7 linked regions of the Macaca mulatta genome follow. The protein of the gene in region 3 interacts with the protein of the main gene of each other region in a pairwise test. Links are inferred from orthologs where the notes say so. Each region holds a gene or a part of one and is shown on either strand. Other genes may lie near its edges. The genes, in order: MYLIP, PHYKPL, LNX2, PTCD3, NMD3, TUBB and SCLY.

Evidence for each region.
Region 1: the proteins of LNX2 (region 3) and MYLIP interact in binary tests that used the Homo sapiens proteins (3 or more experiments, as listed by UniProt). The link is inferred for Macaca mulatta from reciprocal best matches to the Homo sapiens genes LNX2 and MYLIP.
Region 2: the proteins of LNX2 (region 3) and PHYKPL interact in binary tests that used the Homo sapiens proteins (3 or more experiments, as listed by UniProt). The link is inferred for Macaca mulatta from reciprocal best matches to the Homo sapiens genes LNX2 and PHYKPL.
Region 4: the proteins of LNX2 (region 3) and PTCD3 interact in binary tests that used the Homo sapiens proteins (3 or more experiments, as listed by UniProt). The link is inferred for Macaca mulatta from reciprocal best matches to the Homo sapiens genes LNX2 and PTCD3.
Region 5: the proteins of LNX2 (region 3) and NMD3 interact in a two-hybrid assay, tested with the Homo sapiens proteins (3 studies listed by BioGRID and IntAct). The link is inferred for Macaca mulatta from reciprocal best matches to the Homo sapiens genes LNX2 and NMD3.
Region 6: the proteins of LNX2 (region 3) and TUBB interact in a two-hybrid assay, tested with the Homo sapiens proteins (3 studies listed by BioGRID and IntAct). The link is inferred for Macaca mulatta from reciprocal best matches to the Homo sapiens genes LNX2 and TUBB.
Region 7: the proteins of LNX2 (region 3) and SCLY interact in binary tests that used the Homo sapiens proteins (3 or more experiments, as listed by UniProt). The link is inferred for Macaca mulatta from reciprocal best matches to the Homo sapiens genes LNX2 and SCLY.

Annotation. Positions count from the first base shown.
Region 1 is NC_133409.1:166,968,549-166,972,048, reverse strand, and holds part of MYLIP (E3 ubiquitin-protein ligase MYLIP), read left to right. Parts: coding exon 1-1; intron 2-482; coding exon 483-647; intron 648-1,676; coding exon 1,677-2,097; intron 2,098-3,500. UniProt on the Homo sapiens protein: E3 ubiquitin-protein ligase that mediates ubiquitination and subsequent proteasomal degradation of myosin regulatory light chain (MRLC), LDLR, VLDLR and LRP8. Activity depends on E2 enzymes of the UBE2D family.
Region 2 is NC_133411.1:187,044,986-187,048,485, reverse strand, and holds part of PHYKPL (5-phosphohydroxy-L-lysine phospho-lyase), read left to right. Parts: intron 1-1,660; coding exon 1,661-1,735; intron 1,736-2,363; coding exon 2,364-2,451; intron 2,452-2,528; coding exon 2,529-2,645; intron 2,646-3,500.
Region 3 is NC_133422.1:7,657,353-7,661,529, reverse strand, and holds the start of LNX2 (ligand of Numb protein X 2), read left to right. Parts: upstream 1-1,377; 5' UTR 1,378-1,548; exon of another isoform or gene 1,549-4,177.
Region 4 is NC_133418.1:38,255,638-38,259,137, forward strand, and holds part of PTCD3 (small ribosomal subunit protein mS39), read right to left. Parts: coding exon 3,373-3,500; intron 2,733-3,372; coding exon 2,682-2,732; intron 29-2,681; coding exon 1-28. UniProt on the Homo sapiens protein: Mitochondrial RNA-binding protein that has a role in mitochondrial translation.
Region 5 is NC_133407.1:64,393,670-64,397,791, forward strand, and holds the start of NMD3 (60S ribosomal export protein NMD3), read left to right. Parts: upstream 1-1,322; 5' UTR 1,323-1,436; exon of another isoform or gene 1,437-1,754; intron 1,755-2,015; 5' UTR 2,016-2,027; coding exon 2,028-2,071; intron 2,072-4,122. UniProt on the Homo sapiens protein: Acts as an adapter for the XPO1/CRM1-mediated export of the 60S ribosomal subunit.
Region 6 is NC_133409.1:152,322,544-152,326,547, reverse strand, and holds the start of TUBB (tubulin beta chain), read left to right. Parts: upstream 1-1,204; 5' UTR 1,205-1,278; coding exon 1,279-1,335; intron 1,336-2,377; exon of another isoform or gene 2,378-2,661; intron 2,662-3,304; coding exon 3,305-3,413; intron 3,414-3,682; coding exon 3,683-3,793; intron 3,794-4,004. UniProt on the Homo sapiens protein: Tubulin is the major constituent of microtubules, a cylinder consisting of laterally associated linear protofilaments composed of alpha- and beta-tubulin heterodimers.
Region 7 is NC_133417.1:143,306,919-143,310,418, reverse strand, and holds part of SCLY (selenocysteine lyase), read right to left. Parts: intron 2,436-3,500; coding exon 2,323-2,435; intron 810-2,322; exon of another isoform or gene 1-809. UniProt on the Homo sapiens protein: Catalyzes the decomposition of L-selenocysteine to L-alanine and elemental selenium.

The sequences.
Region 1 (3,500 bases), on a different chromosome or scaffold from region 3:
GGTAAGCCAAGACTTAACTTTTTTTGACCTAAGCATGTGTATACATCTGTAGCTCTCAACATAATAGAAAGTAGGAAGGGATTTACTTGACAGTCAGCTCTTAGGAATGAAATATTTCATTTTGGTATGTATATTAATTTTATTCAGGCCTGAATAACCATTTTAAATGTTACTCAAGGTATACAATGTGGCAGAGTTAACATTTTCCAAATAACCCATTCACTGCCATAAAAAACTTGTTTTCACCTCTAGACATGCATGTGTACACACCCAGCACTTGCTCCTACACTTCCCTCCACATATGCCCAACTGCTTTTCACTGTATCTTTATGACGAGGCAGCATCATGGTGATGTGATAGCCCCAGAGGAAGCGTCTGATTTTTCTCCTAGGTCATGAGCAAATGGGGATCCCACAAAAGCACACACATGGTGAATAATCAGTCCTTCTAGATCTGCTTTCTTTTCTCTTCCCGTCTCTTAGGATAGCTTATCCTGTGGTGCAGATGGCCACCCAGTCAGGAAAGAATGTATATTTGACGGTCACCAAGGAGTCTGGGAACAGCATTGTGCTCTTGTTTAAAATGATCAGCACCAGGGCGGCCAGCGGGCTCTACAGAGCGATAACAGAGACGCACGCGTTCTACAGGCACGTATCTCATGTGCTTGGTCACCTCAGCACCGCAGTTCTAAGGTTTTTAGGTGACAGCCAGGTTTCTACAGTTCCTTGGATTGTTGTGTCAATGAGTCTAGTACAGAATTTAGGAAATTCTGAACATTTTGTTTCTGCAGTAGCAGTGGAGTCCTTGTTAATGTAGTCTTGTTTTACCCACAGAAGGTGCATGTGTGTGAGCCACACAAACACATTCTCTGCTTGCCTCCTACCATATTTTCTTATGCCGTTAATCTAGACACAAAGTGTGTTAGGAGATTTCTACGCCTATTTAATCAATACAACAACCCTAAGAGGTTAAGTATTATTACCCTAATGTTAAAGATGAGGGAACTGGGAGAATAAATATTTACTTAGTCTAGCACTCAGGTTCAAAGCCAAGTTTGACTACCCTAAAGGTAACCCTGAGTGGGTGGGCCTGCTCCACTGCCCAGGAGAAGGATAGCACAGGTCATCTTTTCTTTCTGGCAGAGCTGCTATCCTGAATCCTCACTGTGTACGAAAGGATTTTTTAATAACAATATTGATCCCCTCATTTCAGAGGGTGCTTTGAAGCCAAGTTGTGATTGGACTCAGGTATTTGGACAATTAAAGTTCAGAAATTTAAGTCGTAGGCATCTTTAAACTTTATTTATGTTAAAATAGATATACAACTTGTGAAACAGAATGGAATATTTGTAGACATTTCTAACATAAAAGCCAAGACTTCAAGGCAGATGCCCTTTTTCTTCCATAAGCAACTTGACTCGGTAGCATCTGTCCTGGGGAGGAGGTATGTGCTCACTGCCCTCTGTATTTACTGCTTTATGGAAACCATAACGTTAGGAGACGTTAGGGAAACAGGTGTAATCACTGAGGATATCTGCCAGATGTAAAACTGGAAGGACTTACTTTCATACGTGCAGACAAGAATATGAAACATCTGCTTGTTCTTGTTGACAACAGCTAATAAGGGGGCTGCTGGGCTCTTTGGTGTTAAAGTAGATGTTCAATCTTGCCTTGCAGGTGTGACACAGTGACCAGCGCCGTCATGATGCAGTATAGCCGTGACTTGAAGGGCCACTTGGCATCTCTGTTTCTGAATGAAAACATTAACCTTGGCAAGAAATATGTCTTTGATATTAAAAGAACATCAAAGGAGGTGTATGACCATGCCAGGAGGGCTCTGTACAATGCTGGCGTTGTGGACCTCGTTTCAAGAAGCAACCAGAGCCCTTCACACTCGCCTCTGAAGTCCTCAGAAAGCAGCATGAACTGCAGCAGCTGTGAGGGCCTCAGCTGCCAGCAGACCCGGGCGCTGCAGGAGAAGCTGCGCAAGCTGAAGGAAGCCATGCTGTGCATGGTGTGCTGCGAGGAGGAGATCAACTCCACCTTCTGTCCCTGTGGCCATACTGTGTGCTGTGAGAGCTGCGCCACCCAGCTACAGGTAGGGGAGTCAGCTGCCCACTTTTGCCTGCAGCCTCACCTATACCTCCTGTTAATGGGGAGTAGGAGCCAGGTACTGGCTTGCTCGTGCACCGACGGGAAATGCCCATCTTCACCCGGAAACGGTCTTTGTACTTGGTGACCTAAAAGGTATCGACCTTTAGAAACATTTTAGATGAGTGTACTATTTTCAACAACATAATTACTCCAAATTATACAGTGTTTTCAAGTTCTGAAAATGAGGCTCAGATTCCTGGGTAATGTACCTAGTTAGCAGCTGACCTGAGGACTAGAATCCAGGCCTCCTGAGGCCTGGCCCAGGGCTGCTTCCTCTATTTCAAGTTGCCTCCCTTTTTCTGACACTTAGGAGGATGGTCTTTATTACTTAAGATATTTGGGAAAGAGGCCAGGCGCGGTGGCTCAAGCCTGTAATCCCAGCACTTTGGGAGGCCGAGACGGGCAGATCACGAGGTCAGGAGATCGAGACCATCCTGGCTAACCCGGTGAAACCCCGTCTCTACTAAAAAATACAAAAAAAAACTAGCCGGGCGAGGTGGCGGTTGCCTGTAGTCCCAGCTACTGGAGAGGCTGAGGCAGGAGAATGGCGTAAACTCGGGAGGCGGAGCTTGCAGTGAGCTGAGATCCGGCCACTGCACTGCAGCCTGGATGACAGAGCGAGACTCCGTCTCAAAAAAAAAAAAAAAAAAAAAAAAAAAGATATTTGGGAAAGAATACTTCTCAATTATCCATGGATGGGTTGTTGACTCTGTGATATTAGTGATTAATTTCCTTTTATGATTGCAAATGCCTCAAGGGCATATGGGTTGACTGTTATTTATTAGCAAGTCAAACTAATTTTAATATTAACAACAATAAAAAGAGAACTCACATATAGTTTTCTTCCTTTCTTGCATGAAGAAGAATTTTAAATTTCCTCTTATAATAAGTTTTTTCAATTTGTTTTTATTTCTCAGGTGTTTGCCAAATGTCACTATGGTTTTATGTAAAACTGATCCTAAATAATACTTAGTCCTTCAGAAGCTGCTAATTTCAGAGCTAATAAGACCAAACAACCCCTGTGTCCTTTCCCCAGAAGCAGTCATAGGCTTGTCTTTTTCTGCCCACCCAGTCCAACTCTCATCCGTAAGTCTCTCCTGAGGGCTGATGATGGGCACGGACTTTCTGAGAAGTCAGCCAGGAATGTGGAGCTGCCACCTACGGCGAGGAGCAGAGCCACCCTCCCTGGCCATGCGGGCATCAGCCCAGAAATGTTGGCCTGACTCAGTCAGCTGAGCTAAGGACACACAATTTCAAGAAGGGTCTGCTGCATTGCTGCCTGAAGTGTTCTAGTCTACTCACGTAGAGACCACACTCTGCACAGAAAGACGCCTTCAGTAATTGCTT
Region 2 (3,500 bases), on a different chromosome or scaffold from region 3:
CCTTCCTTTCACCTGCCCAAGGCGGGACTCTAATCTTCCCCACCTTTCTGATGGTGGGTCATAAAACTCTCATTCCAGAGAGGGTCCTACCCCATGTCCTGGGAGAAGGAATGCTGCTGTCATGAAGCTTCCATAAAAACTAAGGGGACTAGATTCAGAGAGCTTCCAGATAGCTGAACATACACAGGTTCCTGAAGGGTGGTGCGCCCAGGGTGGGCACGGGAAGCTCCATGCCCTTCCTTCATATCTCCCCCTATGCATCTCTTCATCTGTATCTTTTATAATATCCTTTATAACAAACCAGTAAATGTATTTCCCTCAGTTTTGTGAGCCACTGCAGCAAATTAATTGAACCTACAGAGGGAATTGTGGGAACCTCAACTTGAAGCCAGTTGGTCAGAAGTTCCAAAGGGGGGCTGAGTGCGGTGGCTCCCGCCCGTAATCCCAGCACTTTGGGAAGCCGAGGCAGGAGAATTAGGAGTGTGAGACCAGCCTAGCCAACATGGTGAAACCCCATCTCTACTAAAAATACAAAAAGTCAACTGGGCATAGTGGTGGGCGCCTGTAATCCCAGCTACTCAGGAGGCTGAGGCAGGAGAATCCCATGAGCCTGGGAGGCAGAGGCTGCAATGAGCCAACATCAGCCGCTGCACTCTAGCCCGGGCAACAGAGTGAGACTCTGTCTCAAAAAAAAAAATTTCCAAAGGTGGCCACCACGGTGGCTCATGCCTATAATTCCAGTACTTTGAGGTTGAGGTGGGAGGAATGCTTGAGCCCCCAGTCTGGGCAATATAGTGAGACCCCATCTCTACAAAAAAAGAAAATTAGTTCCAGAGGCCGACTTGCTACTGGTGCCCAGGGGGCTGTGGGGCAGTCTTGGGCACTGAGCCCTCATGCTGTGGGATCTGATGCTGCCTCCACGTAGAGTGTGTTGGAATTGAACTGGAGGACACCCAGCTGGTGTTGCTGCAATCCGATTGCTTGCCTGCTGGCAGGAAGAAATCCTTACATATTTTTTGGAGTCACAGAAGTCTTCTGTGTTGATTGTCGTAGTGTGAAAGCAGAGGAAAAACAATGGTTTGAGTTTTTTCCAAACAAGTTTCATGACACATACGAGAATGTAAATTCCAGGAGAGCCAAGAGGAGAGCCAAGGCCGTGTGTGTTTTACCTTTTTTTTTTTTTTGAGGCAGAGTCTCACTGTCTCCCAGGCTGGAGTGCAGTGGCGTGATCTCAGCTCACTGCAAGCTCTGCCTCCCAGGTTCATGCCATTCTCCTGCCTCAGCCTCCTGAGTAGCTGGGACTACAGGCGCCCGCCACCATGCCACATTAGTTTTTTGTATTTTTAGCAGAGACGGGGTTTCACCATGTTAGCCAGGATGGTCTCGATCTCCTGACCTCGTGATCCGCCCACCTCGGCCTCCCAAAGTGCTGGGATTATAGGCATGAGCCACCGCCCCTGGCCTGTTTTACCTACTCTTTTTGCCCCCAGCTTCTAGTACATAGGAGGCATTTGATGTATACCAAACAAATAAGCAAGTGACTGACTAGTTGATGTCCTGAGAATCTTCTTGCTGCTAGAAGGGTCCTCTTGCCCTCAGCATTTCTCTCTGGGAAGCTCTTGGACCACTGTCTCAGTCATGCCCACCTTTTCGGTCATAGGTCAGAAGCCAATGACCTGGCCCTGAGGCTGGCTCGCCACTACACGGGACACCAGGACGTGGTGGTATTAGACCAGTAAGTGCAACTCACAGCCCTACCATTTCCAGAAGCCTGGCGCACAGGCTGCTTGGGGATCTGTGCGACTCACTCCGGGTGCCTTAGGCAGGGAGGATAAGGGGCCTGGGCTACTGAAGACAAGCGTGGCAGGCAGAGGACCAGGCCTGAGACCCCCCGGAGGCTCTGTCACCCTGGGCCACCATTCTGGGAAGGCAGCTCTGGGGAGCAGAGTGCGCTTTGTAAGGGAGTCAAAGGTGGTCCCACAACATTTTGCATGTTCAAACTGCCACAGCAGTAGCTCCCATGAATTGAGTGTGTGATGTGCACAAAGCTGAGGCTGACAGTATCAACACATTTAAGATTCATTATAAACCAGAAAGAGGAACTCCCACCCCATTTCACAGCAGAGAAAACAACCCCAAGAGGTTAAATGATGAGCTGCTGTCACATAGCCAGTCAGCAGTCTTGCAAGAAGTGTTGCTGACTCCAAAGCCCGTGCTCTTTCCCAAGTTCCCAAGAACCTGGGGGCTCTGTCAGGAAAGTTGGCCTCCCCTGTGTGTCTTCAAGGGTGGGGAGACCATGGTCAGACTGGGCCAGGGAGTAGGAGCTGCCCGGACCCGAGCCTACCCTCCCTTCTCCTCCCCAGTGCGTATCACGGCCACCTGAGCTCCCTGATTGACATCAGTCCCTACAAGTTCCGCAACCTGGATGGCCAGAAGGAGTGGGTCCACGTGGTATGCACTGCCCAACTCAACAACAGGTCGGTGCCTGTCCCCAAGCCCAGATAACGTGGCGCTGTCACTCCCCACAGGCACCTCTCCCAGACACCTACCGGGGCCCCTACCGGGAGGACCACCCCAACCCAGCCGTGGCCTATGCCAACGAGGTGAAACGTGTGGTCAGCAGTGCACAGGAGAAGGGCAGGAAGGTAACTATGTCCGCGCCTGTCCAATCCAGCAAACAGTTAATGTCACCTCCATTGTTGTCACCACCACTGTGCTAGATGCTGGGAACCCAGAGAGAAAACCAAACGAGGCCCTGCCCTCCAGGAATCTGGGGTAGGGGCAGTTCGGGCTCAGCAGAGGGTCTGAGTGCACTAGCATGGGCATGATAGGCAGCCAGAGCCTGAGCAGGCCTTGGGGAATGTCAAGGGGGGTCCTTGGAGGAGGTGCTCCCTGACACAGTAGGGGTCAGCCACTCCAGATGGGGTGGGGAGTAGCAGAGGAAGGGCATCCCGACGGGTGGCTGAGGAACCGTGTGAATGTGTGGCCAGGAGCTGAGCCTGGAGAGGCAGGCAGGGTCCACATGCCAGAGGGCACCAGAACTAGGCTGAGCAGCTGCAGTTCTGCCCTGGAGGCCCCCGGGAACCACCAGAGTCTTAAGCGGGAGAGCGCTAAGCTCTGGGGCTGGCGCTGCTCTCCAACTCCAGGGCTATGTGGGGGATAGATCTGAATGGGGTAGCTTGAGGTCAGGTGACCACGAAGTGGCCAGTAGACCCCAAGTGAGCTGTGGGGAGGCCTGACAGGGGCAGTAGAGTGGAGATGGAATGGAGGTGCAGACGTCGGAGAGAGAGGTGTGTTACCCACGGTGATAACAGAGGGAAGACTGTTGGCGACAGGTGAGGGCTCTCTGAAGGCTTCACTGAAGGAGCGACAGAGCCAGACACAGGAGGTACGACAAAGAAAGGCAGCCTGTGGGGCCGGAAAGGTTATCTGAACCCGACCAGGGAAGCCTTGCCTATGCGTTTCAGGTGCTCCACGACCACTTCTATAAAACCTAAAAA
Region 3 (4,177 bases):
CGGGGGTTCTGTCCCATAGCGCGAGGCGTGGAGACGAAGCAGGAAGGAAGGACAGACCGACGGAAGGCGCGGAGGACGGAAGGAGGGAGGAGGAGCCGCAGCGGCGCGGCAGGGCCCAGCCGCGGGGCGGGGCATCAGGCTCCGCCCCCAGGCTCCGCCCCGACGCGGGGTGGGCGGTGGCTCGCGGCCCGGCGGCTCACCTGGGCGACCAGGCGAGGCCACTCACGGCGGGAGGGGCAGGGGGTGGGGCCAGCGCCGCTTTACCCCGAGGCCCAGACAGGCCTGCGGGCGCGCCAGCTCAACCTTGGTACCTTTCCCCAGGTGATGGTGAAGGAGCGGGGCTTTACCTGCCGCCCCCAAATCACTTCCCTTCCCAGTGGCAAGGGCGAAAGAGGCCCGACTCCCCCACTGGGGCGGTGTTGACCCAGGATGGCCCTTCCTGGGACCCCGGCCTCCTGGGCCTTCTGTGGGACGACAGGCTTAGGCTCTAGTCGGTCAACACACCTTGAAGAGGGAGGAGGTCACGTGCAAGATGAGTCACGACAGAATACGAGGGTTGAAGGCGGTATTTGTCTCACCGGGGACCTTGCAGTTGCATTCTCAACTGGGTCAAATAAAGGGCAAGAAAGAAATGTCTTTCTCTTTTGGGGGAGTGAGAGTTTGGGAAAAAACTGTTTCCCACCTCATCCTTTCCGTCCTAGGATTCCTTCTATCCCCCAGAGCGCGTCCTCTCCGGCTGTGGACTTCCTTTCCCTTTACCCGCTGTGGCTCTTCAAACCTCTTCACCTGCGGAACCCGCCCTCACCTTTGTTCCCAGGTGCCCAGCCCCCGCCTCGGCAACCTTCGCCACCCAGACTCGCTCTCCGCCCAGCTCCCTGTCCCGGCCCCGGCCACGCTCCCTCAGGTGCGCTTCCTCTCGAATAGGCCCTTCTCCCCTAGCCGCCGGCCCCGACCCTGCCCCACTCCAGCTGTCCAGCTGTCCTGCGCAACTACGTTTCTGCTTCCCTGCGCCACCTGTTCTCCTAGCCTCCCCCCACCCCGCCCCGCGATTCCTCTGGATGTTCACTCCTTCCCGAGCAGTGCCACTCCTGGCAGCGGCCCGGGGTGCGCACAGGCACCTAGCCCCCGGGGCTTCCGCAGGGGAATCAGGCGGGCGGCGGGGACAGCCCGGGGCGGGTGGGGGAGGCGGGCGGCGAGGGCGGAGTGGTCTCACTCTAACCCAGGAGTGACGGGCCAATTCTGGCCCGCCTCCCGAGCTCTCGGATAGGTGGAGCCGCCCTCTGGTCCGCCCACCTCCCGCCCTGTGCTACCTCCGATTGGCCCGGCTGCGGGTTGGGCCGCTCGGCCTTAGCGCTGGCCCCCGGGAAGGCAGCAGGGGCGGTTGAGAAGTGAAGTCTTGGCCGGAGTTTGCTTCTTGCCAGGAAATCCGCGGTGGCGGCGGCGGCAATTCTCGGCGGAGCGGAGCCGGGCAGGCTCTCCGCTCCCTCAGCGGGCCGCGGAGAGCGGGAGCTGGTGGCCGTGCGCGGCCCGGGCAGCCGCGCTTTCCCAGTGAGTAACTTTGTCCTGCCCGCCTCGCTGCGCGCCCTCTCCCCGGCTGCGGGCAGCCGCCTCAGGTGCGGGCGTCGGCTGGGTGTGGAGGAGCGCCGCGCCCCGGGAGGCGGCCGGAGCGGCGCCGCTGCTCGCCCCGGAGCTTTGGTCGTCCGCGGCTGTCTTTGCTCGCCCGGGCTGCGGGGCTGGCGTGGACTCCGGTGTGGGGCTGGTCGGGGAGGGAGAGTCGGCGCCCGGTGCCCGCCGCCTGTAGGAGCCCTGGAGGCGGGCGGCCTCCGGCTGTTAGCATTTGCTGGTTCCGGCCACCGCGGTGCAGATCTTGGCGTCGTTTGCTTCTTAAGGGAAGGGAGAGGTGGGGTGAGTGTTTAAATTTCCTGTGTGTGTGTGTGTGGTGTCGGCAATGCGAGTGGCACTAGCTGCCTTTGTCGGATTTTGTTCCTCTGCAAAGGGATAGGGAGAGATCGTTCCCTCCGCCCTAGCCTGTTGCCTGTGAATTCTCACCTTTCTCTTTAGGCTGGAGAGGGTGGGAGATAGATTTGACATATTCCAGTGGGTAATTTAAAAATGCGAATCTTGATTTGGAACCAGTTGCACACAAAGCATCGTTCAGGAAATACATCACTCGCTTTTCAAAGCTTTATGCCACGTTTTAAACAAGGACTTTTGACTCATGTAGTGTTTCTTCTAGTATTTCAGTTTACGTTGAGTTTATGAATCCAGACGTTCGTTTGTGCCAGGAGCTAAAGTACACTTATGCATGGACTTTGCTGTATTTATTATCCTTTTTAAAATCACAGAAATCAGAAACAAAGTTGAGTGAAGAGCGGTGGCGGTGCAGGAGGAGGAACACTTGTGAGCTCCAGCTTATTGGAACTGCCTTTAAGAATTTCACATTCTTGCGGCAATAGTACTTACTTGTAAATTGGCCTTCTTCCCAGGACAGATTTTGATATTTCTTTTGCATGTACTTCGATGCAGCACTGATGAAGTTGGATCTCAGTAGATCAATTTTATTTACTTTGCTAGATTTGATTCCCACCCCCACACCTCTTTAGAAAATGGACTTTGGCAGGTAAAGAAGGAAGCGGGAATCTGGTATCCTTTTTGGCTTGTCAAAGCTTTGTTGAGCCATGAATAACAAAGTTTTGGCTTTTTAAGCTTGTCCAAGTCCCACATGTGAGTTTTCCCATGGGGTAAAAGTAGGCCAAATGAGAACCAAAGTAGAATAACATTACTTTTAATTCGGCCCACTTGTGTGTTACATTCTCCATATATCTTGTTTCTCTCGTCTTCTCATCAGCTTTGACATTTTTTCATTATTTATTCATTTAGCCACTGATAAAGTACCTACTGCATGCCAGCCATTGATGGCAGGGGTTAGTTCTTGCCCAGAAGTTTTCTCATTTGGAAACTGATCCATGCTTTTATCCCGCTAGTTACCCTGAAGTAATTTGAACTTAGGGAGCATTTCTGCCTGGAGACCTGTAAGAATAGGTGTTACGTAGGCACCTAGCCTTCAGATTGATTTGGGATATCGTACATTGTAGGCACGGAGCACGCAGGCCACTTAAAAATAAATGCATGTATCTTTGGGCTGTTGTATTATGAGCTTTGCATATGGGCTTGTCTGGCCGAAGGACCCAGTGTCCAAGGTGGAAGTAGTAGTCAGGGACATGTATGGTATTCATTTCAGAGCACTTGGCACCTTTTCTTGCTTACATTGGTCACTAAAATATTTACTGAATTGACTTGAACAGAAAAATGAAGGATTTTGTATACCAGATTAAGAAATTTGGACTTTATCCAGTCAGTGATACTGAGCTGCTAATTTTAAGCAGGAGAATGTCATGATAACATTCGCGTTCCAGAAAGATATCTGCAGCATCTGGAGGATGGTGGGCTTCCAGATGGGCGGTATTGAGACTAAGTTGGAGGCTGTTATAATGGAGGGGTTAAGTGCTCAGGGATTCTCTATTCAGATTACCTGGGGTGGAATCAGGCTCTGTCATACACTGAAACCTCTTTGTTCCTTAGGTTTTTCATCTCAGAGTTTGGGGGATAGAACTTGAAAAAACATGTATATTACTTAGAATAGTGATTGCCACATAGTAAGGACTTAGTAAATGCTAGTGTGCTGGCAGTGGAAGGAGAAACGACATGGCATTTAACGCGTATGACTAGGAGGCTGGACCAGGTAAGTGACTAGATAGGCTTAAGGAGGGGAAGGATGAATCCTGGGTTGTTTGATTTCAGGCATTGATTGACATGTACTGGGTAAGCTGGCTGTGGAATTAAAACGGGTCAAATTCTAATTCTATTACTTACCCTTAGAATTACTATCCTGACAGAACTTTGATTTCCTAATATTTGGGAAATGATTGTCATACCTGTTCAGTAGGGTTTGAGAAATTACACATGTAATGCCTTTGGCAGGGTACCTAGCACATTCCAAGTGCATAGATGATGACGTTAATGAGCTAGTGGAATGTTGGAGGATATGAGAAGCAGCAGTTAAAAACAATTAATGGTAGAGGTGTGGAAGGGGAGATAAGTTCAGTTTTGGACCAATCTAAGGAGGTGCTAAATGGATGGTTGAGAGATCCATGATGCAGTTGTTGGATAGTTGTGT
Region 4 (3,500 bases), on a different chromosome or scaffold from region 3:
ATGAAGGATGATCTATTTGAAGGGTTTCCTGCAGAACAAGAAAGCAAATGTGTTTAATCCACTTCCTTTACCACCACCAACCTCACAGTACCTAGTACAAAGGGACACATTTCTCCTTCCTTCACCTCCAGCCTAAGTCCTCGCATAGAGCTGGGTGGAGGCCAATGCTTGCTAAAGGAACCACTACACCCTGCAGAGAGCAATTCTCTGTAAAATCTGGAATAATCACAGGTCTCTATTCATGTGCTCCACTGAGACTTCCCCTTTCTTTAGGATCTTCACATGAAGCCTGACTTACTGGAGTAGGAGGCAGACAGTAACACACACTCCCTCACCAAACCAGCATACTTAGAAAAACTTTTTTTTTTTTTTTTTTTGAGATGGAGTGATGCACTGTTGCCCTGGCTGGAGTGCAATGGCACAATCTCGGCTCACTGCAACCTCTGCTTCCCGGGTTCAACCGAGTCTCCTGCCTCAGCCTCCCGAGCAGCTGGGACTACAGGCCTCTGCCACCACGCCTGGCTAATTTTTTGTAATTTTAGTAGAGACAGGGTTTCCCCATGTTGGTCAGCCTGGTCTTGAACTCCTGATCTCATGATCTGCCCGCCTCAGCCTCCCAAATGCTGGGACTACAGGCACGAGCCACTGCGCCCAACCAAAAATGTTTTTTGCTAGTAATCATTTGTGTTCCCTTTAAATATAATCAGAATGAGGTCAAGAAAAAGTAAACTAGAATGGACAGGGCAGTGCTTAAAAATAATGTGAGCTGAGCACTAATAGGTCAGAAAATCATCTGCAATATTCCCAGTCAAATATTTCTCTACACTCTGTTCCCTACCTGTTCTGTGTGTTCGTGGTAGCAGAGTTGTAATGACAGTGCAGATAGTTTCACAATTTGCTCAAGCATGTTTCCCTTTGCTAACATTCTTAATTTTATCAGTTACATAATATTCTCTTTTCAATGTATTGTTTCTTGGCTAATTTAGGCTTTCTCTTTTGGGTCAATTCCTAGAAATTATTATTATTATTGAGACAGGGTCTTGCTCTGTCACCTAGGCTGGAGTGCAGTGGGACAAATGCAGCTTACTACAGTTTCCACCTCCTGGCCACAAGCAATCCTCCCGCCTCACACTCCTGAGTAGCTGGGACTACAGGGGTGCGCCACCATGTCCAGCTACTTTTTTCATGTTTAGTAGACATGCAGGTCTCTCTGTGTTGTCCAGGTTGTTTTCAAACTCCTGGGCTCAAGCAATCCTCCTGTCTCGGCTTCCTAAATTGCTGGGATTACAGGCGTAAGCCAAAATTATTATTGCAGACAGGCAATTTATATACATAAGACAAACCAACATAGCTCCCCCAGATTCCCCATCCCCCAGTCCTGGCTGTTACTTAGGAAATGTAAGTACATCTGACTTTGATTAGCAATTGAACCAGTGATGAGAGTTACAGAGGAAAGAAATATACTTTGGGGTCAGAAATACTAGCTCCATCACAATCTCACCAAGGTTGAGTAAAATTTTAGGGGACACAATTATGGAAACTTTATCTGTTTCCAAGGTACAGTCAATTAACTGTTTGGTTCCTTTTCCTAAAGATAAAATTTGCCTATACAGGTGATGATATGGATTTTACAAAATTAGTCCTCCAAACCAGAGAGAATCAAGTTCTCTTCTGTAATTTTTATAGTCTATCACGAGAAAGAATGACTAGAACTGTCAATTCTGAACTCAAGGGTTATTTCTTAGGCTGGGGATAAATGGATAAGAACTAAAAGATTCTGAGTGTCTCATATGTGCCTTCCAAACACAGTAGCAGACACGGTGTGGAACTCATTTAACTACCACACCCTGCTGCTATTCCTCAGGTAGGCATCCAGTCACTTTGACATAGCTGGTAAATAAACGATAGAGCCGACATCTCAGTTCAGGTGTGTCTCTCTCCAAAGTCCATCTACAGAGCAGAGCTCCCACTGGAACTGACCTAAAAGTGGACAACGAATGGAGCCTTGAGGTCCTCCCAAAAGGCTTCACAATAAGTTTACCTTCCTCTGAAGCAGCAACGTCCACAAACTTTTGGCAAAGATGGAAATGTTCTGAACCTGCATCACTGAACATGGTAGCCACTAGACACATGGCTACTGAGCACTAACGTGACAAAATAATTTATTATTTTACTTAATTTTAATTAACTGGCCACATGTGGCTAGTGGCTACGGTATTAAATAGCATAGCTCCAGAGAACAAAAGGGACTTCAGCCAAAATACATTCTAACCATTCCTGTTTGTACAACATCACTGACAGTACATTCCATAACCCTCTCCCCTCCAGCTCAAGTTTCATACCATAAACAAGATTGCTAACCTCAAGAATAATTTTAGGTAGTAAGACCCTGCCCAATAAAAAAAATCAGCTGGGCATGCTGGTAGGCATCTGTAATCCCAACTACTCAGGAGGCTAAGGAGGGAGGACTGCTTGAGCCCAGGAGTTCAAGGCTGCAATGAGCAAGATCCTATCTCTAAAAAAAAAGCCACAACTTTCTGCTCAGGCTGTACAGGTTAATTTACAAATTATCTTTTCTTAATTCATATGCAGAGAAGATAACCTGCAACAATTAATCACATAAATTCAAGAAAGCTGGTCAATTTTCTATATAAATTAACACAGTTTAAGGCCATACATACCAGGCTGATAAAACAGCTGAATAATATGGTGATATGTTGCAAGCGAGGGTTCTCGAATTACCAGGTGAATAGAAAAAATAAACAATGAGGTAAACACACAGCAATCCAAAATATAGTTTACTGAGACACACTGAATTTAAAACATATTAATGTTAATATTTAAGCAATAGATGCATTTCTATTCCTTTGAACAAAGATATTTTCCAACTCATTAATGTAAAGGTGAAAAACTATCATAAAGACTTAATCACTTTTTGAAAGTCCAAATACTTATTAGTCACATTCTTCACTGAGAACAGTAAAATATATTTAAGTGAATTGATTCCCAAAGCAACTTTCAATAAAGTAACTAATGAAAAATATACAATACACTAGCACACACTTAGGTTCAAATACCTAATTATGCTGGAAAAATGTCATGAATTTAAAACTAGCTAACTCAAAGCAATCACTTCTCCTCAGATTCAACAGAACCATAAACAAAGTACCTAAAATACTAATGAACACTAAGATGATAAAGACACTCCCACCATAAGTACAGTACATTTAATTTAATGTGCCAAACATGGAAACAAAATTTCCAGCATATTATGTAAGCAGAAGAAGAATTTAAAGGTCTTTGCTTATGTTGACCTGAAACCTCTGGCTGGCACAGGCTCTGTCTTCAGAGGAATCAAGGGCGCATCCTCACCTATTCCAATGGCTTTCATTTCACGTAAAAGCTGTAAGGCTGGCAATCTTGCAATCACATGAAATCTTCGGAGACATTTCAGAATGGTATTAAAAGTCTGCAGATTTGGTTTCACGTTCTGTGCAACC
Region 5 (4,122 bases), on a different chromosome or scaffold from region 3:
TGGGGGAGCCTTTGAGCCAGGATGAGCCAGGAAAGGAATTTCACAAGGTAATGTCATCAGTTAAGGCAGGAACAGGCCATTTTCACTTATTTTGTGATTCTTCAGTTACTTCAGGCCATCTGGATGTATACGTGCGGGTCACAGGGGATATGATGGCTTAGCTTGGGCTCAGAGGCCTGACATTTTCTCCTAGAGCCTCCAGAGTCAGCCCTCACCATCTGTTTAGACCTGTAGCTTCCAAAACTGGAAGAGAACAAATTTGTGTTTTTTTAAGCCAACTAAATCACTGATAACTTGTTAGAGCAGCACTAGGAAACTAATTCAGGCTTAATCTTTACCGAGTCCTGGGTAGAAGCAAAGGAAGACTATTTCCTGTGAGACCTGCCAGTTGGTTTGAATGGTTTGGGAGTACGTGTGGTTGGGAGGAAGACAGGATATGTGGAGATCAGATCCTGAAAGGTCTTCTTTCCACGCAAAGAAACTGGAAATAATGCTGAAGGTAAGCAGAGGCCACTGAAGGATTAAAAGCAGGGGAGTGTGACAGAATCAGAACTGCATTTCAGAAGGATGGATTGGAGTCTACAAGTAGGGAGAGCAGAGGAGAGGCTACTTAAGTATTCTGGGCAAGAAATGATGAGAGGCTTCCTCTGATCACCCTCTACAAAACGCCCTTGCTTATTCCTTGACATTTGGGATGAGGGGATTTAGAAAAAGAAAATGGTTGTACTCTTCAAATATTTGAAAGGCTGTCATGAGACCGATTAGACATGGTCTGTGCTGCTCCAAGTTTGAGGGATAAATCAGTCATACAAAGATATTAAGTGTACTATCCGGAATCATATAATTAATAATTTATCTAAAAATCGCATAGACTTCTTCACAGATAATTATGCTTTACATTTCATTCTTTCAACAAATAATCATTTCAGCAGTTAGGGTGTGGCAGACATCAGGCCTGTATAGGATGGTGAACCAGACAAAGGCGCCGGCCTGGATGGAGTTTCTCTGCCTGAGGTACTGTTTACAGATAACTTTTATATAACATAATCGTTTAATCGAGAAGCAAGCTCACAGTCGGGATAGCTGAAAAGAGACTAATATACGGGCGAGGTTGGTTTGGAGTGAACTCCGGCCTGGGAAAATCGAGACGATAACTGAAAAGCAGTCGCTGAAGGCGAAGGAGCCCCCCCGGACTGCTCTCCGCGCGCTTTCCCAGCCTCCCGGCAGCTCCCCTCACCCTTCCGCCCGTGGGTGCCGCCCCTTTCCCCGCCCCCACCCGCCCCTTTCCACACGTCACTCAGGCCGCGGGATTTCGAGCATTTCTCTCGCGAGATCCTCTCTGTGGCGGAGACACACGGGTGGGCAGCTGACAGGACTGCCAGGTTCTGTTTTGTTGCGGGTTTTCAGCAAATCCTGTGCTGGTCCGGAGAGGCGAAGTAGGTTCCGGGGTCCGAGACCCGTGCTGTCGGCACGGGCCCCTGAGTAGCGGGCGGGGCGGGCTCCCTGGGCTCGGGTCGTGCTCAGTCCGCGTGAGCGCCGCGTGCCCAGAACCCGTATGCGGTCGCTCCCCGGGGTTGGGGGTCGGCGTGGGTGACCCGCGGGCGCGGGGACTTCATCCGGGTACTCCTGCGGCGTAGGTCTGAGGCGCGGCGTGCCGGTGCGGTCCGTGGGCTGGTGGAGAGCGGGAGGGCCCGGGCGTCCGCAATCCCGAGCGGTCTGACCTCGCCCTAGGTCTTCCAGGGTTTGGAGGCCAGGTGAGATGGAGGTCAGCGGCAGAGCTGGGTGGACCGAGGGTCTTGCAGCTGGGAAACTCAGTAAATCCCGTGGTCTTCATCTTAAAGTTCTTTTTTCCGAACTTACCCAGTGGAGTTGGCTTTCCTTCTTTCCTGCTTTTTCGAAGTTCCGTGAATATGTTAATTATTCGGAGAGACAAGAGGAAGACGTAAAAAGAGGAGACCAGACAAAGTGATTTAAATCCCAACATTCTCATTTTATTTTATTTTTTTAAACTTAAGGCGTAGAGAACGATGGAATATATGACAGAATCCACCGACCGCAGCCCTGGACACATGTGAGTGCCACACTTCTTCCTTCCCCCTTGCATGTGAAAATCTTCAATGAGCCCTGGAAACTCACTATGGGGAACGCTTGAGGGTGGGTGGGAAGGAGCTTCTATTGTCATAAATGGGAAAAAATAAAAGTCTTATTTCTGTAGAAAATCGAGTTAGTTTCTGGTTATAAAGCTTGTTCTAGTAAATACATGCTCTAAGAGGGTTAAAATATTTTTCATACATTCTTTTATATCGGCCCTGTCCAATATGTAGCCATTAGCTACGTGTGGCTATTTAAATTTACCTTTTACTTACATTTCCTTACTTTTTTTTTTCTGAGACGGAATCTCACTCTGTTGCAGTAGTGTGATCTCGGCTCATTGCAACCTCCGCCTCCCGAGTTCAAGCAATTCCCTGCCTCAGCCTCCCGAGTAGCTGGGAATAACTTACTGTTTTTTATTGGAGATTATAGTGTCGTAATTTTTAAATTTTGAACATCTTAAAACAATTATCAATTTTTAATTTCTTGCATTTAAGTTCAAATTAACTTTTTTTTTTTTTTTTTTTTGCTGATAAATAGGTTTAATGATACAGTGCTCTTGAAAGAGATGACTACAGAGACTTTTAAACGAGAATCTTGGAATCGTTCAGCACAGACCAATCAGCTAAATCTAAAATAAATTGGCATCTTACCACAACTACCCTGTAAACATTGCAGTGCTTCTGTCTAAAATGACCCTAATCTCACAGGAAAACAGTAACTGTGGAGAAACTAGCTTTGTGGCCAAAAGTAAATACCAAAGGAAAAATAGGAATTCAGTGATTAGCGAAAGCAGAAACTTTGGCCTCCTTCCCTGTGATGCTTTACTCTTCCCTTGTCCCTCAGTTAGCTCTGGGTTTGAATAAGCCATCTGAAAATGTCTTTGGAGCGCAGCATAGTGCTGATCTTCCTTGTTCTGTCAGTAGCTTTTAACAGACACTTGTCGAAGGGCTCAGAGCCCTTCACAGAACCCTTTGTTGGAATGGGTTGTTTGACCATTATACTTCTGTGCCGGACAACTAGCACTTCTGAAAGAGCCTGGTAAGCTCTGTCAGGAACTGCTTGCTTTCCAAGTGGTACCGCTGGCTCCACTGTTAACATAAGCCCCAAGCAGTTTAAGTTGGAAGTTTCCTAAATTAATTTAAATGGAATAAAATTAAATACTTGGTTGCTCATTTGTACTAGCCATGTTGCCACATGTGGCTCCTGGTGGCTACCATTGGACATGGAAAATTATAGAACTTTTATTTTGGACAATGTTCTACATTAGGGGTTCTCAGACTTTTTGTGCCCCCAGTACATCTCGAATTATGATAGTTTGTCATTTATACTGAGTCTCTAGATGTTGATAGACTTCCCATCCTGTTAAAAAAAAAATTCTGCTTTGCGTAAATGTTTATATTTTAGGAGTCCTTATACTTTTTTTTTAAATTGCCTTTGGAGTATGTTGTTGTCTAATTCTGTTAGAAATGATTTAGATATTAGTTTCTACTGGTGTAATCCAGAGATATACTTGAAGAAATATTCATTAGCGATAAGTAGACAGCTGTAATCTTTTAATGTAGTGACACCATACATTTCACCTGTATACCCTGAATAAATACATTTTTAAAGGCTTAGTATTTAGAGATGAGGTGGTTGAATTAAAAAGAGACAAACTGATCTTACATATTCTTGATATAGGATTTTCTTTTTGGTTTTTGCCATTGACACACTATTGCCTTGTTAATTGATTCTTACTTGGTTTTCCAATTTTCAATAAGGGATGATGAATAACAGTGCTTCTCAAATTTTTCCCAAGTTTGTTATTACACTTGCGGTTAGGAAGTTTATCTGTTTATTTGTAAAAGTTAATGTGAATGTTTGTGTCTGCATAGAAAATGTTTGGAAGGATATATACAAATTGTTAATAAATGTTACCTTTATGGATAGTGTTGGTTGGTTGTGGTAAAGAGCACGTTCACGTTTTTTAATTGTATTTAAGTATTTAAAATTAAAATTAGTGCAAGATTTGTATTCATCAATATACCG
Region 6 (4,004 bases), on a different chromosome or scaffold from region 3:
CTGGAGGACAGGGAACTAATTATTAATCATTTTGTAACCATAGTTCCTAATTTGGTGGATACATAGTAACTATCAAATAAGTGAATAAATCTCTGGGAAGAAGCTGGTGGACTCTGTCTTGAGCCCATCCAATTTTCCCCCATCAATTTCCCCTCTCTCCTTTTTCAATACTGGGTATCTTGCAGAGTTGCAATGGCGGCCACCTGGTCAGTGAAATAAGCGAATTGAAAAACCACTGACTTCATTAACATGTCTAAAAAGGTAGGCTGAAAAAACTGAAAATCTATCAGGCATCTCATTCCATAGTTCCCTGTTTGACAAGAAGATCAAGGTGTCTTCAAAGTCTGCCCTAAGGCCCAGATCTCCTACGTGGATGGAGACTTCTAGTTTCACAAATCCCCGATGTCGGTTTCTCTAAACTATTTTATTCTTTGAACATACTCTCCAGACAACATCTCTATCCTGAAAAGCCCTTGCTGCAATTTTGTTTCTCTTTCAAAACAATGACTCGAAAATTTCCAAGGAAATAGCAAGAGGGCGATTCCCTTCTTGAAGTATTTGAGAGAGCAGAAGCTTACTTAAGTTCATGACTTGGGTCACCAAAGGCCAGAGGTAGCAGAGCACGGTGCCACACTCCTCCCCATTTTTCGCTGAGCTAAGCAATTCTGTCTTCCCTAGAGGTACTGCAGCTGGGAGCTTTTAGGGCGTACCTCACCACCCAACTTCTGGAACCCCAGACTTCTCAATCCCTGCATCCCCGAGAACTGCTCACTTTTTGTACAAAAACCTCAGGCACAGAGGAAAGGAATCTTGCGCAAGGTCGTTTTTCATTTACAAAACAAAAACCCAACAAAAACCAAACCGGTACCCACCCATTCGTCACTTCATTTTGCACCGTGAACAACAATAGGGGACTACAACTCCCAAAGAGGACTGCGCTCGTCCACTGGCTCAGAGGCCAATGGACGCCTGGTACATGACCGGCATCGACTAATCAGGGCCAGGCTCGATGAGGCTTTGTCTCCCGACCGCGCGCGGGGCCGATTCTCCCGCCTCCCAGCCCCGGCGCACGCGCGCCCCGCCCAGCCTGCCTTCCCTCCGCGCCCTCCCCTCTCCTTTCTCCCTCTCAGAACCTTCCTGCCGCCGCGTTCGCACCTCGCTGCTCCAGCGTCTGGGGCGCGTTCCAACCTTCCAGCCTGCGACCTGCAGAGAAAAAAAATTACTTATTTTCTTGCCCCATACATACCTTGAGGCGAGCAAAAAAAATTAATTTTAACCATGAGGGAAATCGTGCACATCCAGGCCGGTCAGTGTGGCAACCAGATCGGTGCCAAGGTAAGAATTTTACACCTCTTTTATTTCTTTTTAGAAGGAAAAATCCAGGTAAGTTATGAAAAAATGGTTGTGGGGCATTTGCACTCTCCATTCTTAATCAAGCTTTGCCCCTCCCAAGTTTGTTACATTTATATATATAATAACTAGCATTTGCTTTTGGAAAACTGGGAATCATTTTTCTTGGCAGGCACATTTTGGAGAAACTAGTAAAAGGGCTCTTCGGGTTTCGGGGGCGGGAAGACCAAGGACATATGTTACTTAAAAGGGCTTCTAACGGTCCAAGAACCGGGCAGGGAGAGAGATGCGGAAACAGTCGGAGACAAAGCGGGGCGAGGTTTTGCCCATGTGCATCCCGCCCAGCCCCCCCTGCGGGGTTCTTAGGGCCAAACGGGAGCGGGAAGGGGTGAGGCTGTCGGGCGGCTGCAGAGAGCTCCAGTGCAAAGGTCGGGGGGCGATGCGCCAGGGTGGGCTGCGCTGGGCGCTACCATTCACAAAAGATCAGGGACCCCAGCGCGCCCGCGACCCCGGAGGGCCGGTCCTGTAGTTGTTCCGGGGTGGAAGGAGAATAAGAACGGGATTAATTTTTCTTGCTTTCATGGCACCTAAGCGAGACCTCTTTAGGGCGTGAACTGATATGTCGAGAAAATGGGGGTGTGTGGTTTTCTTTAACGAGTCCTTCAGGACTTAATGGGAGAGAAAGAATGCTTTAAATCAAGGGGGAGAAATCTAGCAAAGGAATAAAATTCCGAGGCCAAGGGTTTTTTTTTTTTTTTTTTTTGCGCGCGGTTACAGTGTAGCGGGGGAGGGGCGGGAGGAAGTGCGGGTGCTACGTTGTAGCAGAAGGGCGGGGCCCTGCGGGGCGGGGCCAGGGCGCCGCTGGCGCGCGGGGACAATGCGGCGTTGCCCGCCGGGAGGGGCGCGCTACCCTGGGCCCCGCCCCTCGCGCGGAATTCTTGCCCCTGGCCCCGCCCACGTGCGAAGTCCTTTGTCGGCGGCTCGACCTGCGCGTGCGCCGCAGTCACGTGGAGGGTGGGGGGTGGTCGACTGCGGCAGCAGCTCTTCTAGTGCCCCGAGCCTTTTGTGCGCCGCGCGGTGGGGCGGTGCCCAGCTCGGGGGAAGAACAGCGGCGCTTATCCAAGTATGGTCGACCTCCATCCGCCCACCGAGCACTTGGGACCCGCTGCACATAATCCCGAGCCGGGAAAGCTGTGGCTTTCCCGGGGGAGCGAGTGTCTAGGGGAAGGGTGTGGCAGGCACACGGGATGCCAGGCCCTAGAACAACGGCCTGAGCGCGTGTGGGATTAAAATGGGAGATGTGGGGCTGAGGCGGGCTAATTGGGATCGCTCCCGCTCAGGGGTTTGAGACCATCCTGGGCAACAAAGCGAGACCCCTCCCCCCGGCCACATCTCTTCAAAAAAAAAAAAAAAAAAATTAACTGGGTGTGGTGGCGCGCGTCTGTGGTCCCAGCTATTCGAGAGGCTGAGATGGGAGGATCGGTTGAGCCTGGGAGTTTCAGGCTGTAGTGATCCGTGATTGCACCACTGCACTGCAGGCTGGGCAACAGAGGAAGACCCTGTCTTAAAAATTAAAAGAAGCTGGGCGCGGTGGCTCACGCCTGTAATCCCAGCACTTTAGGAGGCCGAGGTGGGCGGATCAAGAGATCTAGACCATCCTGGTCAACATGGTGAAACCCGTCTCTACTAAAAATACAAAAAATTAGCTGGGCGTGGTGGCGCGCGCCTGTAGTCCCAGCTACTCCGGAGGCTGAGGCAGGAGAATCGCTTGAACCCGGGAAGCAGAGGTTGCAGTGAGCCGAGATAGCGCCATTGCACTCCAGCCTGGCGACAGAGCGAGACTCCGTCTCAAAAAAAAAAAAGAAAAAAGTTAAGAAAAAGATGAAATAAAATGGTAGTTGGGGACGTAGTTGACTGGGACTTGACTTGTGGTCTCGTTGCTCCTGCCCGGCAGTTCTGGGAGGTGATCAGTGATGAACATGGCATCGACCCCACCGGCACCTACCACGGGGACAGCGACCTGCAGCTGGACCGCATCTCCGTGTACTACAATGAAGCCACAGGTAAGGGCAAGAGCCCGGGCAGCTCAGGTTCCCCTTCCCTGTCTCCCACTTCTCTGGGGTCTCTTTCCATTCCTGGCACGCCTTATCCCCTTTCGGTGAATCTATCATTTTCTCCCTTTTGTGAACCACCGTCGGGGCCAAAGACGTCTGCTGCCACCTGGTGGCAGGACCTGGAACAAGTCTTGGGTCCCTGCTGTCTTCCATTCCCAGTGTATCTATAAACCTTTCCCTCTGCCAGATCTCACAGCTCTTAACTTTATTCTTTGTAGGTGGCAAATATGTTCCTCGTGCCATCCTGGTGGATCTAGAACCTGGGACCATGGACTCTGTTCGCTCAGGTCCTTTTGGCCAGATCTTTAGACCAGACAACTTTGTATTTGGTAAGTTATACAGATGATATTAGCAGATGATATACTATCGTGTTCAACTTATTTGGGTGCAAGGACACAGCAAAAGTTAGGAGATGATTGTTGTACTGGAGTGCTAAGAACTGTATTCTGAAATCTAATGGAGGGTAGAGGTAGGGTAGAGGTAGTGCCTGCTGTTGCTGGTACATTATGGGGCAGTGGGGGGAGAATACATCACAGTGAA
Region 7 (3,500 bases), on a different chromosome or scaffold from region 3:
AGAGCTGAGACGTACATTCCAGTCCTTGCAGATCGACCTGGACTCCATGAGAAATCTGAAGGCCAGCTTGGAGAACAGCCTGAGGGAGGTGGAGGCCCGCTACGCCCTACAGATGGAGCAGCTCAATGGGATCCTGCTGCACCTGGAGTCAGAGCTGGCACAGACCCGGACAGAGGGACAGCGACAGGCCCAGGAGTATGAGGCCCTGCTGAACATCAAGGTCAAGCTGGAAGCTGAGATCGCCACCGACCGCTGCCTGCTGGAAGATGGCGAGGAATTCAATCTTGGTGATGCCTTGGACAGCAGCAACTCCACGCAAACCATCCAAAAGACCACCACCTGCCGGATAGTGGATGGCAAAGTGGTGTCTGAGACCAACGACACCAAAGTTCTGAGGCATTAAGCCAGCAGAAGCAGGGTACCCTTTGGGGAGCAGGAGGCCAATAAAAAGTTCAGAGTTCAAAAAAAAATAAACAAATAAAAATAAATTTCCCTCAAAGACTTTAGATAATAATATTTAGGCCGGGCGTGGTGGCTCACATCTGTAATCCCAGCACTGTGGGAGGCCGAGGTGGGTGGATCACGAGGTCAGGAGTTCAAGACTAGCCTGGCCAATATGGTGAAACCCCGTCTCTACTAAAAATACAAAAATTAGCCGGGCATGGTGGCGCGTGCCTCTAGTCCCAGCTACTTGGGAGGCTGAGGCAGAAGAATCGCTTGAACCCAGGAGGCGGACGTTGCAGTGACCCGAGACCTGAGATAGTGCCACTGCACTCCAGCCTGGGTGAGAGCAAGACTCAGTCTCAAAATAATAATAATATTTAAATATTATTAAATAATGTTTAAATAATAATACTGTGAAAATAATTAAACCACTCTATAAATTGATTTTTTTTCTTTTGCATTTCTATCTGAGTAGCAACAGAAAGTAAACTGCAACACTTCTGAGTTTATGGTTCTTAATTCATGGAAACAAAGGCTGTCAAGGAAACCTAAAAGCCACTGCCAGGCTTCATTCAGGTCCAGAACATGATTTCTCTGTGAGAGCGATTCCTAGACTTTTTCATGAGACAATGCCTGTCATTGGCATTTAGTTATTCTCCGTATTTTCAAGTTTAATATGTCAGAAAGTTCAATTTTACTAAAGGAGAGACTGGATACAAGGCAATGTGCAGAAGATTAGCCAGAATAGACCAACAAATAAGCCAACAAATAAGTTAATGAATGACTAGTATCTAAGCTGAGGGCTTTGTTATTAAGTTGCTGTGAAACTTAACAGCAACTGAATATGAGAACATATTAAACCTGTAAAGTTGTACACAAGTGTTACTAAACCATATGGCCTGGCAATATTCTGTTTGAAGTTATTTTAGTTCATCATAATCCACAGTTAACATAGTTTATCTTAATTATCCCTAATAAACATTAAATAAGAAAGGTAAGACTTGAGTTTGCTCATCTATCTGAAAAACAGAATGTAACTCTGCCATATAACTGACTTGAAGCAAATTATTCTCCAAAACCTCCAATTTAATGCTCTACATTACAATAAGAATAAATTGGAAACATATAAGAATATTTATAACTGATTAATGAAAAAGTAATTTTCGGCCGGGCACGGTGGCTCAAGCCTGTAATCCCAGCACTTTGGGAGGCCGAGACGGGTGGATCACGAGGTCAGGAGATTGAGACCATCCTGGCTAACACGGTGAAACCCCGTCTCTACTAAAAAATACAAAAAACTAGCCGGGCGAGGTGGCGGGCGCCTGTAGTCCCAGCTACTCGGGAGGCTGAGGCAGGAGAATGGCGTAAACCCGGGAGGCGGAGCTTGCAGTGAGCCGAGATCGCGCCACTGCACTCCAGCCTGGGTGACAGAGCCAGACTCCGTCTCAAAAAAAAAAAAAAAAAGAAAAAGTAATTTTCATTTTTTAAAAGGGCCAGGATTGTACGTTATCCTGATGACCTAAAAGACATATTTTGCGAATTCTGTAAGGATTGACTTAGCTAGATCTGTGCAGTGCTCAACAGGCACTGACAGCCACTGCAAGGAACTCTCAGTGGACACCTTTCTCATCGGGGAAAGGGTGACAGGACAGCATGTTAAAGATTAAACATTAAAGGTTAAAGACTACCGTAGCAGCAAGGCTCAGCTTATAAATTGGGACTTCTCAGAAAAGAAACAATCAAAAATTACAGCTAAAGATTTGCAGCTAACAGAAATCTATTCAAAACAAAGCCATCACATGTGGGTGTGCAATTTCTCTAAGAGCGTCCCATCCCCATTATCTCCCATCTGTGAACATGTGCATCTTCTAGAATTACCTGCTGGATACAGGCTGCTGGGATTGCCCCAGGCTTCCCACATGGCCTCGGTCATGGCCTGGATAACTTCTGGCTCCAGGGGAGTGGTTGCATTATAGTCCATATAAACTTTCCTGAAGGAAAGAAAGCAAAGACACCCCTTAAGGAAAAGGAGACAGCACATGGGAAATACGGCTGCTCTGTGTCTATCCCATCAGCAGGAGCAAATAATGTCAAGGGCACGGCGGTCTCCTGCATAAGCACTGCAGACACCCACAAGCTGCACTTGGGAATATCCAGGATCTGCACTACTTGTGGAAAACGTATGCACAATTTCTAATAATCTAGTTTTTGCCAATTTCTTTTATAATTGATAGGACTTGGATTTTCATTTAGGTTTTCAAAATTTCTTTCTAGCAAGGCACAGTGGATCGTGCCTGTAGTCCCAGCCACGGGGGAGGCTGAGGCGGAATGAACTCTTCAGGCCAGAAGTTTGAGGCAGTGAGCTATGATGGCGCCTATGAATAGCCACTGCACTCCAGCCTGGGCAACACAGCCAGATCCTGCCTCTAATAACAAACACTCTTTCTACCCCTTGGTAGGGCCCAGATTACCCATCTGACAGCTATGAAGGGCAGATCGTTGGCCTCTTTCTTATGGAAGGAGGGGAACAGCTGCATATTCCCAAGGGAACTTTCCTGTTTGCTGTTTTAACTTCATCAGAGTTTCGCCTTATTTCCCCATACCCGTTTTTGCGATGGCCTGTGGGGTTCGTGGTGACCTGGGCTTCTCCCTGGGGCAGGTGAACTTTGGCCCCAGACCTTGCACTTTCCGTTTCTTTGCCCAGAAAAACTACATGCCCTGCCTCCACCTTACTTTTTTAGATCTTTGTTCCAACTTAGTCCTCTTGTGACCCCCTGCCCCGCAGCTCTGTTTAAAACTACAGCCGGCTGGGCACAGTGGCTCACGCCTATAATCCTAGCACTTTGGGAGGTCAAGGCAGGTGGATCACTTGAGGTTAGGAGTTTGAGACCAGCCTGGCCCACATGGTGAAACTCCATCTGTACTAAAAATGCAAAAATTAGCCCTACTAGGGAGGCTGGGGCAGGAAAATCGCTTGAACCTGGGAGGTGGAGGTTGCTGTGAGCCGAGATCACGCCACTGCCTGGGCAACGGAGTGAGACTCTGTCTCAAACAAA